2 linked regions of the Cricetulus griseus genome follow. The main gene of each other region encodes a partner of the protein of the gene in region 2 in a complex. Links are inferred from orthologs where the notes say so. Each region holds a gene or a part of one and is shown on either strand. Other genes may lie near its edges.

What was found.
Region 1: Banp (region 2) and interferon regulatory factor 2-binding protein 1 share a complex: the UniProt entries of both Homo sapiens proteins name them as parts of the corepressor complex. The link is inferred for Cricetulus griseus from reciprocal best matches to the Homo sapiens genes BANP and IRF2BP1.

The regions. Positions count from the first base shown.
Region 1 is NC_048602.1:28,363,996-28,368,143, forward strand, and holds interferon regulatory factor 2-binding protein 1, read right to left. Parts: upstream 2,769-4,148; 5' UTR 2,732-2,768; coding exon 971-2,731; 3' UTR 552-970; downstream 1-551. UniProt on the Homo sapiens protein: Acts as a transcriptional corepressor in a IRF2-dependent manner; this repression is not mediated by histone deacetylase activities. May act as an E3 ligase towards JDP2, enhancing its polyubiquitination. Represses ATF2-dependent transcriptional activation.
Region 2 is NC_048596.1:198,630,141-198,633,735, forward strand, and holds part of Banp (protein BANP), read left to right. Parts: intron 1-481; coding exon 482-657; intron 658-3,595. UniProt on the Homo sapiens protein: Controls V(D)J recombination during T-cell development by repressing T-cell receptor (TCR) beta enhancer function. Binds to scaffold/matrix attachment region beta (S/MARbeta), an ATC-rich DNA sequence located upstream of the TCR beta enhancer.

The DNA.
Region 1 (4,148 bases), on a different chromosome or scaffold from region 2:
CCTGGGTGTTCTAGGGTGGCTGCCATGTCCCCAGATGAAAGACGTGAACCCAGGATAGGTTTCTCGGGTGTGTTCGCCTCTCAGGCACCATCACCCTGCTTCCAGTTACCCTGTTTGCCCGGGGAAAGTAAAACTTACTCTACCCAGGGCAGTTACCCTAGAAATACACCTTCACGTAAATTGGTCTAGGAAGTGCCCCTCTTCCTGTCCCCTCCTCCGATGGTTCCCACATTCAGAGTACCGGCCAGCTACAGCGCATACCTACTCCCCGGCTTGTCTGCGCTCCCCACGCGGGAGTCAAACCCTATCAGAACCTCAGTTCCATCGTCTGCAACACCAGCCTCGACTACACCTTTTAATGAGCACAGCAAACGTACACTACAAACAGCCGCCCGCTGGACAAAGGGCGCCACCCCGTGGTCACATAGCAGAAGTCCACCTTCTCGCAGGACACGTCCAGTCCCGAAGGGGGCGCAGCATCTCACACAACTAAAGGGACCGTGAAGGGGAGGGGAAGGAGGGGAAGGAGGGGAGAGGATTTAAAAAAAAAAAAAAAAAAAAAAAAAAAAACCATCTTTCGGTTTATTGAAGGAGGGAAAGGGTGGGAGAGGGGAGCAATAAAATGCTTTTGCTTCGTTTATAAAGAGCGAGTTCTCAGGAGACCTCCCCTCGAGGACAAGCGGGGCATCTCTCTCCCCAACTACCAACAGCAGAAAAAGCCAAGCCAAGAAAGGAGAAGGAAATCGGAGGGACCCAGGAACTCCAAACGCCTGCTCTGACAGGAGCCACAAGCTCTCCCCCCACCCACAATGCATCTACCCTAGGGGATCCATCCGGGTAGGGGAAGAGGGTATATACACAGGTTAGGGCGGTACTGGGCTGGGCGGGGTAGGGAATAATTTATCCGCAAGAACTGCGGTGGGTGGTCTAGGGGGGGCGGGGTAAGTAGCCTATCGATGGCATTGGCGGCCTAGGGGTCCCTTTCTTTCTTGACCTTGATGTCTCCAGCAAGGATGGTAGCGATCTCGCCCTGCATGAAGGCCCAGGGAACGGAGGAACCCACCAGCGGACACTTGTCTCCGCTGGGGCAGTACACCTCTCCAGCTGGGCCCTGAGCTTTGATGAACTCTCGAGAGCAGGGGAAGCAGAACTTGTGTCCGGGTACCGAGGGACACTGCACGAAGTGGGTGTCTTCCAGCCTCTCTCTGCACAGGGTACAGCACAAGGGGGCTCCAGGGGTCGCCCCTGTGCCGCTACCACCCCCGCTGACAGCTTCAGCCCCGGCCGTGGGGCTGACCTCTGCCTCTCCGTTGCGCGACACCAGGCGATGCTGGCTTGGTGGCTGGGTCGTGGAGGAGGCGGCTGGGCTGGCTCCCCCTGTGCGCACCGGGCCTCCACCCCCACCAGGGTCCTTGGGTGAGTGGCCCAGGGCTTCGGCCACATTCTTGAGGGCGGCGATGGGCGAGGGCACACCAGGCGTGTCCGTGGAGTAGGGGCCACCCGGTGCCACCCAGTGCCGCTGCTGCTGCTCCTCCGTGGTCATCTTCCCGGCTGACTCGCCCTCGGGCTCGGGGGACGCCTTGCGCCGGCGTGGCGTGGGCGCCAGGTTCCTGGAGGGGGCTCGAGGTGGCGGGCCACACAGAGCAGCCGGGGTCGGTTCTGGGTACTGCTGAGGCAGGGCCTCGGCAGGAGCGGGCTCTCGGAAGCTGCGGACCCCGTCGGTGAGCAGCTCTCCCAGCTGGCGCCATTCCCCTGAGCCGTGGCGGCGTTCGTATTCGAGGTACTTGAAGCCCGACGAGGCCAGGGCCTTGCCCGGCTCCCGGAGGGCATCGTGGAACATCTGGCGGGCCACCGCCAGGACCCCCGCGTACACGTTGCCGGAGCCGCAGGGGTACTCGGTGAAGAGCTTCAGCTCGAACTCGTAGCCGGGGGGGCGGGCGGTGGCATCGAAGGCGAACACCCTTCCCACCAGCCCGTGGTCCTTCTTGAAGCGGACGTTGAAAGGGGCGCAGGCAGACAGCGCCAGTAGCTGCTCCCTCACAGCCTTGGGGCGCCCGTGCCACTCCTCCGCCCGGCCGCGCATGGCCTCGTTCAGTTCTGCCAAACAGTCCGCATTCCTCTGCTGCTTCTCCTTCTCGAAATCGGAGCCGAAGAGTGGACGGGCCGGGCTCAAGCCAGGTGCCAGCGTCAGGGCTCGCCCTCCGAGGCCAGACACCGCAGCTGCCAGCAGCCCGGGGGGCATCAGGCTGGGGATGGAGCCAAGCAGGGCCCGGCGAGCCCCTTCGGCCACCGCCTCGTCGCCGCGGCTCAGCCCGTTGGCCAGGCGGGACCCCAGGGTGTACTCCAGGGCCGGCGAGGGCAGCGCCAAGCGGCTCGACGAAGTGGCCCGGTCGTAGCGCTGCTCCGGGCCCGAGACGCTACCTCCGGTCCCCGATGGCTGCGCCTGGGCCTGCGGGGGCGGCAACTGGGAGCCCTGGGTGCCCGCCGAGGCCAGGTCCTTGGAGGTCGGGTGCTTGAGGGCCGGGGGTCCCGGCGAGCGGCCCTCGGGGAGCACGTGGCTGCGCTTGAGCTGGCGGGCGGCGTCGATGAGCAGCTCGATGCGGTCGGCGCCCTCGAAATTCACGCACCCGCGGCACACGGCCTCGCTGAAGTCCCACACCATGGCCCAAGGCATCTTGGGCAGGTCGCAGAGGTAGCACCACTGGCGGCGGGACGCTTGCACCGAAGCCATGGCGCCCCACCACCACCACACCGCACCGCCGCCGCGCCACCGATCCCCCCCCCGAACCCCCGGAGAGCCGCCGGGGGCCCCCCGCGGTGCACCCGCCGCCCACGTTCGCTCCGCCGGGCCCCGGGGATCGGGCGTGCGAGCCGCTGCTCGCTCGGTCCGGCCTCGGCTCGGCTGCGCTCGGCCTCCCCGCCGGATTCAGGCCCGGCCCCCCTTCCACGCCCCCTGGGCCCTGAGCCTTTTTTTTTTTTTTCCTCTCTCTCTCTCTCTCTCTCTCTCTCTTTTTTTTTCCTCTTCTCTCCTCCTCACTCCCGCCTCCCGTGGAAAAGGCAAGCCGCGAGCACGCACGTCGGCGCCCTCCTCCGGTCCGCACCGTGAGTCAGGATGCACAGCTCCAGCTCCCCCGATGGGCCTCGGGCGCCGCCGCCCCGGGCTCCCGCCGCTCGCCCCGCCGCTCGCCCCGCCGCCGCCGACGCCGCTGCAACGGCCGCCGCCGCCGCCTCCACCTCCTTCTTCTGCCCCAGAGGCCGCTTCGCAGGGAAAGTTACATAACGCGCGGGCAAAGCCTTCTGGGAAATGTAGTCCCGTCGGGGCTGCTTCTTAAAGGGGACTTGGGCAGAAAGCAGTGGCGGGAAAGAAAAGAAAAGAAAAGAAAAGAAGAGTGGGCGCGCGCCTGGCCCCTGCGTGCTTCCTTTCTTGTGGCTCGCCTGGGTTCGCAACACGGGGGTCCAGGGGACGGATCGTGGGTTCATAAATGCTTGGGGAGGACAAGTGCTGGGCATTCATTTTTTTTTTTTTCCCGCCTTCTGATGTTGAGACTTTGGATTTTAGCTTAGGCTGGCCTGAGAAGGCCAGCGTCGATAAGCTAGGCTGGCTTGAGACTGGCTGCGGCCCTCCTGCATCAGCATCCCTAGCGGCGGGGCTGCAGTGCTGGAACTCCAGGCCCAGAACCCCGGCGAGCATTTTCTGCTGCTGCTCTGATTTGCTGAGCAGTTTCAGAGAAGAGTCTTGCCCTCTCTGAGAATCCCGCCCCTCCAAGCAGGGCCAATGACGGGTGAGGGAGGCAGCAGCTTTTTTGAGATGGGGCGGAGAGGTTCTGATTGGATGCTTTCAAGGGACCGGGAAGCAGGCGACCGTGTTGGAAAGGGGTGTCTCCAAGCCACTTTGTCCTCCCCCAGGGGTGCGAGCCTCAAGGGAGGCCCGCATGCCACAGGATGAGGAGAGGACCGAAGGCTCCGGAGCCAGGGCCTCATCTGTCGAAGGAGGGGGCGCTGAGCGCTTTCCGAGTCGGCTCCAGTTGTGCAGGCGCTTTGGTCTCCAAAGGGTTACACAGTCCGCTTCCCCGCGCTCCCCCCAATCGCACTACAATTCCCAAAATGCTCTGCGAGATGGACGCACTGACGCACTTCCTCTGCCTGGA
Region 2 (3,595 bases):
TGTAAGCTGTTCCTAGGATTTGTTTGTGGGAGTCATGGAGAGTGTGGAGGTGTTTTGAGGCTGAGTCACCTTGGGTGTCTGACAGGATGGATGATGGATGGATGGGGGCTCTTTGACACACAATGACCATTGTGCACATCAGCCTTGTTAGGATGATCTCTTGAGATCCGAAAGCAGGATTCTAAGCTGAGTTTCAGTGAGTTATGATTTTATTTATTTTGTGCTGTTCATATTTTTAAGCAGTTGCTTTATATTATGTGTCTTCTTGGCCTCAGACTGTTTCTGTGTTATGTTGCTATTCATCTCCATGGAGGGTGTGTGTGGGGACACACCGCATGTTGGGGGACCCACTTTGTACATTGGTCCATGCTCAGCTAGGCATTTTGGGATAAGTCCACACAGCACAGTGAGTCAGGGCTAGTCTCAGTGTGCCACTCATGTCCCTCTCACAGCGTGGGCTGCTGTGTTTGTTTCCCGTCAGCGCTGTTCCTGGGCGTCGGCAGAACACCATCGTGGTGAAGGTACCAGGTCAGGATGACAGCCACAATGAAGATGGGGAGAGCGGGTCAGAGGCCAGTGACTCCGTGTCTAACTGCGGCCAACCAGGAAGCCAGAACATTGGAAGCAACGTCACACTCATCACCCTGAACTCTGAAGGTGCGTTACCAGGGCTGCTCTGCTTGTCAGCACAGCCATAATTGTGCTTTTGTGCTGTTAGTTTGGAAGGGCATGTAGCTTATTGTTGATAAGAGGAGTGGATCAGAAGTGATGAAGAAAGTTAAAGCGACTGGGAAGCCCACTGTGGCTTCCAGCACCTGAGCCTCTCTCATGTTGTGTTGGTTTTATGTTTGCTTTCCCCTACCTACACAGAAATTGATTTCTTCCATGTCTGTTGGTGTTTCCAGAGTGATTTCAGTGTCACTTATGGAGGTGCCTTCTTAGATGGTCTGCTTCCTGAGGAGGAATAGCTTTTATGATCCTGCAGCAGTAGTCACTCACTGTCCTTGGCATTTCTCTGCAGGTTTCCAGAGGATATTGCCAGACTTAGGAAGTACAGTCTTCTTAAGGCTGGGCTGCCTTTTGTGATGGGGATCTGCAAGGGGCCAGGAGGAGCAAGTGCTGTGGTCTGTCTTTCCCAGACTCCTCCTCATGATTTCTTGGGGTCCCCATGTGGGGCCCATGACCATGGACTGAATCCTCTGCAAGCTTTCCGCCTTAGTCTGTTACAGTGACAGGCTGGTTTAGTGTATCCACATGTTTATACAATGTCACCACTATCTAAATCTCGAATTGTTTTTTATCACCCCCCCTCAAAGAAACCTCAAACCAGTTAGTAGTCCTCGCCCTCCCACCCAGTCCTTTTAGCTGCTGATCTTCTTGTGTTAATGGGGATTCCTGTGAGCACTGATTGTGACAGGGCCATAATTGTTCCTGTCCTCCCTCCATAGGGAGAGGGGCTGCATTCCCTGTGCTCTGGTCCTGTCCTTATGCACACAGGGGCTGTATTATTAGTGCTTCTGCCTTAATATGGCAGAGACTGTATTCCCCATTCCCTGACTCCCCACATATAACAAAGACTGCATGCTGCATACTCTGGCCCTCTCTTTGTATGACAGGGACTGCATGGCCCATGCTTCAGGCTTGCCCTTGTGTGACATCGTTAGTTGACAGGTATTTGGATCTTTTTTGCTTTTGGCTGTTGTACGCTGTGAACACTTGTGAAGTGTGAACACTTGTGTGTAAGTTTTGGCATCTATGTGGACTCAAGGCCAGAACAGCTGGCTGTTTTAACACTAACTGAGGAGAAAGTGCCAATCATTCTTTCTTCAAAGGAAGTTGCATAAGGACCATGCCTGTAATAGCAAAGGAGCCTGACTGATCTCTCTCCTTTCCTGTGGGAACCATGCAAGCTCGGGTGTTGGTCTGGTCAGCTGCTTAGGCCTGGTGTAGACCCCTAAGGAATATAATCTTTTTAATCCAGGAAGTCTAGATTATCATAAGAATAGAATTTTCCCTTTTGACTCTGACTTTGTGATGTGATCAGTGTGACATACATTTGGGAAAAATAGCAGATTTTGTTGAAATGAACTCAGGAAAAGGAATCATTTGTGGCACTTGCTTTGTTATTAGTGTCTTAAGGAGGAACAGAAACGTGTCTGAGTTCAGGGTCTCTGAGTGAGATGTAGTTAGTAGTTTGATGAGCAATGTCAGAGCCACACTAAAAGCTGCCTGTGTCATGATACAGTCATGACTCTGGTGGACAGCACCAGGAATCTTCATTCTCCGATGTTAGGACTCAGCATTCCCCCACTCACAGTTTTACTTTTGAAGAAGAGGTCATAGTTCAGAACCATTTGGCTTTCTTGTTCTTTGGGAAAGGTAGGTCACAGTGTCTTATCAGTAAATGATCCTGCCGAGTTGTATGCTGGCACAGTGGTTTTCTAAGGAGTGTCTGGAGATAGGCGGCATCATTATTAAGTGATTGTTGCACATGTAAGAGCTAGGAGGACTACCAAGCAGGAACATGTCTCACTTCAGACTCATTGCCCACTGGTCCTGACAGTACTGGCCTCTAACCTGTGGCACTCAGTCATGGTCTTGTCTCTTTGCTCAGCAGGGTGTGTTAGGCCATCTGGCTTATGTTATAGAAGATTATTGATATGGGGTGCTATGGATGATGATAAACTTAACAGGATTTGTCCCATTAAGAGCCAAGAATTGCAAGCTGACAGATGCTTCTTGTCTTCTTATGTGAGTGTCTGTGTGCCTGAGGTTTGGAGAACCAGACTTTGAAGTTATTATTTATTGCTTAAGAATTCCAAATGTTAAAGAAAAAAAAAAGTTGTGTGGTGGTGGTGCACGCCTTTGATCCCAGCACTTGGGAGGCAGAGGCAAGTGGATCTCTGTGAGTTTGAGGCCAACCTGGTCTACAGGGTGAGTTCCAGGACAGGCTCCAAAGCTACAGAGACCCTCCCCCCCCCAAAAAAAAAAAGTCAAAAAATCCAAAATTTTTTGTTTGTTGTTGTTGTAAAATTTGAAGTCAGTGGAACCATTTCCAGGTTTGTTTTGTTTTTAGGGTACTGGGGTTTAGACCTAGGGCCTATGTATGCTTAAGTACTCTACCACTGAGCTGTATCCCAACCCTCTTCTCATTCTTTATTTTGAGACAGTATCTCATCAGGTTGTCCAGGCTGGCCTTGAATTTGCTCTGCAGCCCAGGAATGATAGGCTTTGAAATTTTAGTCCTACTGCCTTAGCCTTTGAATGAAGTAGCTGGGATGATAGGCCTGTGCCATTTCATTGTATTTTAGCTTTTTACTTAGGTAATTTGTTAAGTAATGTAAACTTAGTTTAGATGAAATAGAAGGTGTCTCCTAATTGTTGGCCCATGTCTTCCTGTACCCCCTATTCTTGAGAATGTGAGGGCCATAGTCATTCAGAGGCTAAGTTGGCTATGTGACAGATACAAATTGGCTAAACGAATCAAAACAGGATCTGTTAATTAAGGGATTTAGTTGGGTTTCCATTCCCACAGTGTGGGCATTTGGTAATTCCTAGAGGATGGACTAATCCTCCATGTAAAATGCTGAACACT